Drosophila melanogaster: one gene and its partner. The protein of the gene in region 1 interacts with the protein of each later gene in a pairwise test. Each region holds a gene or a part of one and is shown in the gene's direction. Other genes may lie near its edges.

What was found.
Region 2: the proteins of CG15124 (region 1) and CG14818 interact in a two-hybrid assay, tested with the Drosophila melanogaster proteins (2 studies listed by BioGRID).

Annotation. Positions count from the first base shown.
Region 1 is NT_033778.4:19,640,985-19,644,346, forward strand, and holds CG15124 (uncharacterized protein), read left to right. Parts: upstream 1-1,962; 5' UTR 1,963-2,053; coding exon 2,054-2,629; 3' UTR 2,630-2,714; downstream 2,715-3,362.
Region 2 is NC_004354.4:1,878,519-1,881,610, reverse strand, and holds CG14818 (uncharacterized protein), read left to right. Parts: upstream 1-1,836; 5' UTR 1,837-1,955; intron 1,956-2,030; exon of another isoform or gene 2,031-2,052; 5' UTR 2,053-2,120; coding exon 2,121-2,199; intron 2,200-2,260; coding exon 2,261-2,472; 3' UTR 2,473-2,592; downstream 2,593-3,092. Other genes in the region: Coa8 (cytochrome c oxidase assembly factor 8), read right to left, coding at 376-591, 665-928, 988-1,038; CG14805 (uncharacterized protein), read right to left, coding at 2,607-3,092.

The DNA of each region.
Region 1 (3,362 bases):
TCAGTGCTTCCCTTTTCGCACGTGTGTGTATGTGTGCCTGTCTGTGTATGTGTGTCGGCGTGTCCTTCTGTGTGTAACGAATGGCAAATTTCAGGAAGCGGAAATGGCAATTGCAAGCGATGGGAAAAGGCAGCAGAAAGACAACGACTGAGGCAAATGTGAAGTTGTGCGCTAAATGAAATGCCAACACAGCAACACGGCCGTGCAAAACGGAAATAGCAAATGCGAATGACGCTGGATCGTTGGACGGTTGGCTGGCTGGATGGCCGAAAAATGGTGTTGGGCGGGGGTCTTGGGATGACAATGGGTGTCCTGGGCAGAATGGGCAGACAGGTGCCAAGGCAGACAATTTGCCGGTATTTAAATTCTATTTTAAGTTCTGTTCAAGCGCGTCAGGAAGCAAACGTAAGGAAATGGTTGACCGTGAATGGTGGACACGTTTCCCACTAATATGGCTGGAAAGCTTAAGGCTTCCTTTTATATATATGATACATATTATTTAAAATATAACCATAGATTTTATAAAATATTATAAATATTTTATTAACACTCATAATATAAATTGCTTAGTTTTGTTTACTCGCCACACTCATTGATGTAACAAAAATGACAAGTAATTTTGAAGTCATTTCATTTTTCATTTGCTTGGGATTAACATTTTTCTTAAAGGACTTTGAGCGTGCATAAAAAATTATCTTTAGCACCATAAAGAACTATATTCACTGCAATTTAAAATGAAAATAAATCTGATCGGGTTAAATGAAAATCGACTCCAAAAGAAAAAATCCTATTTCATCAAGGAATATTCTCTTATTTTTTCTTTTGAATAAAGTTTCCTTTTCCATTTGACTCTTCACCGTCGTTCAGTCAGGGCTTTTTTTCCCCAGGCTACGTGTTTAAAAATATAATCGTATTGAATATTTAAATGCTCGCCAGGGCAAAAGTCGCCAAATACGCTGGCAAAACTGGACGGGAATCAAAATCAAATGCAATGCCTGCGGCTTCGGCGAATGCTGGCTGCCTGTCAGCCTGGCACAAAATTAGATTTAAATATTTTGGCATTTCCCATCAATTTTCATATAATGCAACCCCATCCTTTTCGCTGGGATGCAGGTCCTGTTGCATGGAGGAATGCTGATAGTGAGTGGGATTCGTCTGTGGCAAGTCATTCCAGCCCTACACAAGCGCACACATCGATGTGGATTGAAAGACAGGCGCACACAACCACACATGCTCAATCATTTATGCAGCAATCAGTGCTGACGTCTTTTCCACACGTACGATTACCGGCATAGAGAATCGAGCCCTACTCTCGGTTATGTGGAGCATATTGGGAATCGAAATTGAGTGCGGGTTAACAATGAGGCAGTTGAGATTGCGGCAGCTTCTCTCGAACTTCTGTTGCTCGTGAGTTTCTTGAATTTAAATCAATGGCCCGGGCATCCACTGCGTATGAGTAATATTATACAAGGATGAACAGGTAATTTAATTTAGCTTTTCGGAACAATTTTTTGTTCACAGAATGCAATCAAAACATGTATGAGATAATATACATTTAAACAATCGTTGTCGAATTATTTATTTTATCATGATCCCTACTTTTTTATAAATTGACAATCATTTAAGTAAACAATCCTTTCAGCAAAACAGAAATAACTCCTTTTTCAAGGTGCAACCGTGAAGGACGACTGCACAAAAACTCTATTGGATTATTTGAAGGTTGAAATCAAATTAAGTCAAGTGAATAAATTGACTTTTAGTGCATATAAAAATCGCAAAAAGCGCAAATAAAAATGAAATAAAATTGCGATGGATAAAAAGTTTAAAAGTGAATCCATAGAAATTCATCGTTTGCTGATGACGAAACATGAAAAAAGGAAACTTAAAATTGGTTATATATACGAAATTAACAAGGGAAATTAAACGATCACATAGCAAAGCATTTTTTTGGAAAGTAGTCATTGCATATATTGCTTTCTGAGAAACTTCGTATAAATTTAAATTATTAAAATAAACCGCTAGAAAAATAAGTTAAAATTTGATATCAATTAGAATGGATAACGACAATATGCTCGACTTTACAGACTTAATCAGCTGCAAGGACTTACCGAACATAACTCTGCACAATATCCGTCCCATTTACAGTATAAAGGTTTTCATGTCCGAACCTAAAAACTCCAATGTCTCTATTGCTGAATTAATCAAACGCCAGGAAGTGTCTGCAGAGCAATGTCGCAAGGCACTTAAAGTCATAAAGGACAGACTTCTTCTGAAAATGGCAGCGTTGCAAGAGCTTAAGAAGTATCTGCTGGATTTGCATTCGGAGATCAAAAAGCCCGGTGCAGGGACTCGTTTTGTGACCAATCAGGAGAAAGTTAAATTGCATTTCCTAGACGAGACGGAAATCAGAGAAGTCGAATTGTCTGACGCCGTAGAACGTTGCAATATAAAGCTGAGCTCGCTTTATTGCGAAATCCTGGCTTTGGACAGCGACATGGGCAGTGTCGCCTATTTGGAGAGGGTCGCCCAGATCAACAAAGACTTTATCATGGATTGGCATAAGACTCAGAGGCAGAATAAGACAAGCAACATCCATTGTTCCGGCCAAGGCGTCAAAAAGACTTTTTAATTTGGACTGTTTTAAACTTTACATGTTTCACTCATATGCAATTATTATCGCACTATTCTGGAAAATAAATATTTATCGCGAAAGCAAATACAAAATGTTTTATTACACCTCTCCGAGATTGAATAGTTGAATTTCCAGCAATGAAATTAGCCTTAAGTAATGTGCTCCTCTCTTAAATCCTATCCCTAGGAATCTTTTTTCCCCCTCGACTTTTCCTGCTTCGTGTCCTTCCGTTTCCCTTTTCTCCGTTTACCTGTCACTGACAGCCCGCTGGCCGCTTCATCTTCATTCCCCGTCCATGAATAATCCCTGCGACACTTGCGTTTCATGGCTTTGCATAGTTAGGACCTGTTAAAGGAGGGACCTGGTCCTGGACAGTGTGCTCAGGCATCTCCTCTCTTAGCCAGCGCTTAGCTGGACCTGGGGAGTTGAATCTGTAGCTGCACAGCAAAAAAAATTTTAAAGGTTTCAAAAAGATCTCAAAAAAATGTCCCAAGAGTTTTAAACTCTATATAGAATAGTCTTGAGTTACGTGTCCCGTTCAGGTAGTATTTTTAATACCATTTGCTGGCAAGTTACTAATATTTTCTCTGAGTGTTCAGTTAGCTGGGAACCGGAGCAGGAAGCCAACAACAGGTTGCGTGCCAATGCAGTTTTTCATCGTGAAATGTCGGCGCTGATAGCGATTGTAATTATTATGCTGAACTGCGGGTATGTATGTATGTATGCAAGG
Region 2 (3,092 bases), on another chromosome or scaffold:
AAACTTGACTTTATGCGTGTGTGCCTTCCCCTCTGTTTACCATTATTATTATTATCATAATTGTAGCGGTTATCTTTCAATATTCGGCCACTTTACATGGGGAGCGATCCTTCTTTCGCTGCGTGTATCGTGCGCAACCTTCTTTGAATATATACACTGATAAGGATATGAACACCTACTTCTATTTTATTTTATTTAAATAGTTTGCGATTACTTTTAAGTACATTAACTAACTCCGAACAACGTGTATTTTTCATCCCCTTAAATAGTAGCTAAGTAAATTTTATGCCACCATTTTACGCACGTGATCTTTTATTCCAACTTATTGCAAACGGCAAACTGGAAATTACGAAATGGGGACGACAGATATTGCACCTAAGATCTTCGCTTGGCCAGCGCCAGAAGCCTCTGGAGCTGGACTGCGGCAGCCAGGGTGAGTATGTCGAAGTTCTTCAGGTACCAGGAGATGTTGTACATGATGTGGATGCGCCAGTTCTTGTCGAGGAACGCTTTGTAGAAGTGGCTCATCTGGTCCGCGGACACTTCGCTGGTTCCGCTTTCCTTGTGCAGGCGGATGAAGTCTTCCTTTTCCTGTAAACGAACCAATTCGAAAGAGACGACATTAGCGGACTAGAAAGAGATGGCACAGTGGTCGTGGTTGTACCTCGTAGAAGCGCTTATTGTGTTTTGTCCAGAAGTCCGTGTTCCATGCCTCCACCTCGATCCGCTTAAGACGCAGGCTTCTTGCCAGCCGCGTCTCCTCATCGCCGTAGTGCCGTACGTACGGACGTAGGTTTGATTGCGCGTCTGGCGGTCCTATATAGTCGCACTTCACCGTCTTGGGATCGGGCTTGTGTGGCAAACCGACGACGGGTTTTTCTTGTGGCGGTGGACATCCCGGCTGCACTGCGGCATAGCACCGCGGTAGCTGTGTAAACAAGAAATTGAAAATCCGAATCCTATAAGGCAACACACTCATGGACTCACGCTGAACTGGAAAAGCGATATCCGGGGCTGGCACCTAAAACATTTGTTCATTTTTCGGTTATGTTATGTGAGGTGCAGTGTGGCCGACTGTCACGCTAGGCAACAGATTAAATATTGATGCCAGCAAATATTACGGGCATTCGCATGCGATTCTCGACTGAATATCTGGAGTTCAGAAACCAGTAGCCAGTAGCCAGCCAGCTGATACATGTCGACAAAATCAAGAAACAGTTTCTTTTTCCAAAATGGTCGCATATTGCATGTTTCCAGTCGCAATTGAACCAATAGGAATGCAGCCTTGTGAACAGTTAGACCAAAGCTTAAGCAAGAGTATCAGAAGAGATGTGAACCCCTCTTGTTTCCCTGTTCGTGACACGCAATCGGCACGTCATGCTCGAGCAAATACCAAAATCCCTAGTAATTTGCTTGCGTTGTGAAAATAAAACGATATACATGCACATCTCTAAAAACAACGTAGAAACAGAGGCTAGTACACTTTCTGTTTATTATGCTCGCCTCATGATTGCAACAAGAAATCTACTGTCGCAATTCGATGCTTCAAAATTATTTCGGTCAAAATGGGCAAGATTATCGACTGTAGACACCAGGCGAACAGAAAACGTTGGAGTACGACCGCTGATCGCTCTGAGAAATTAAACAGCCGTTCATTGTCAGAAGGGGTCAACTCTGGCCAATCAACATTAAGCACTATGGGAAAGAACCGTTCGATTAAGTCCAGTCAACGCCTAGAGATACGTAAACCATTTGTTTCATTGTTCGTGTCACGAATTAGGCACGACATATGCGAATAAGCCAAAATTTCCCATGCTATTCCATTGGTACGTAAAAATAAAACGAGGCACGGGCACATCCCTAAAAACTAAGTGGAAACTTAGCTTTGGACTTTTGCAGTGGATTATGTTCGCCTAGTGTTTTGAGCTAAAAAGTGTTTTCGTAATTACAAAAACGTACGTATGTACTGAATTCCCCTATTAAGTTTTTTTTTTTATATCGTATTTGAACTGAGACCTATCGTTCTCTTCTAACCACCTCTATCGTTTATAGCTATCCCGTGACAATAAATCCAACTGGAAAAAACAAACGGAAAAACTCCGGGGAAAATTCCAGGGAAAATGTCACCCAAAAACAATCATGATCCCTCGTCGTCCGGCGACTCTGGCAACACCAATGTCCAGGAGGCGGACCTCCAAGGTGAGTTTTGACAGCGCCCCGTTTCTGCTCGGGATTGGCTCTAATGGAATGACCCCTACAGAGATGGAGGACGTGAACAACAGTCTGGACGCTCTCAGCTGTGCCCTGGACGCCGTGGAGCAGCGCACAGACGACATTATGTCCCAACTACGGGAGCTGCTGAACTCCAACCGAGAGATCCGTCGCCTGATTGCCGAGGAAAATGACAACGCTCCCGAATCGGGAGATGACAACATGGACGGGCAGGCGGGCAGCGAAGCGGCACCCAAGTAGATCCCTCTACGAGAAGTTATTGTTTTGTTCATCCAAATCGTTTTTAGGCACAATCAGTGCTGTTTTTTTTCTATTATCATGTATTTTTGTCCTAAGTCCTAAGTAAACGTAATTGAAAGCAAGCTTAAGGTTCACTATGTCTTCCGCGCTTTCTTGCGCTTTGTCTTCTCTGTGATTTCAGCCTGGCCATTGGTATCGCTAGTAATATACTTGAAAGCTATCTGGAACAAGCGCATTGACTGCGCTTTGAGGCGCGCATTCTCGGCCTGCAGCTCTTGCACTCTTTCGTCGCTTGTCTGTGCTGAGTCTGGCTGATATTCTGCATACGATTTTTCGGACTCAGCTTCCTTGGAGGCGGTTTCCATTGGCTCGGATTCAGGTTCTTCTTCTTCGACCTCGGAATCCTCGACATCTGTAGCTTTGGTTTCCGCCTCAATTCCTTCGTCGTCCTCGTTCTTTCCCGAACTCATGGACGCTATAAGTTTGAGTATTATCTCCTCATCCGTACCCGGATGACTTTGGGTGTAGTCCAGCTCCGGTGTCTTGCGTCCCCCGGAGTAGTCCGGATCGAAGAGCTCGATACAGTCATTCTCATCCCACGGACTAATCATTCGCTTTAG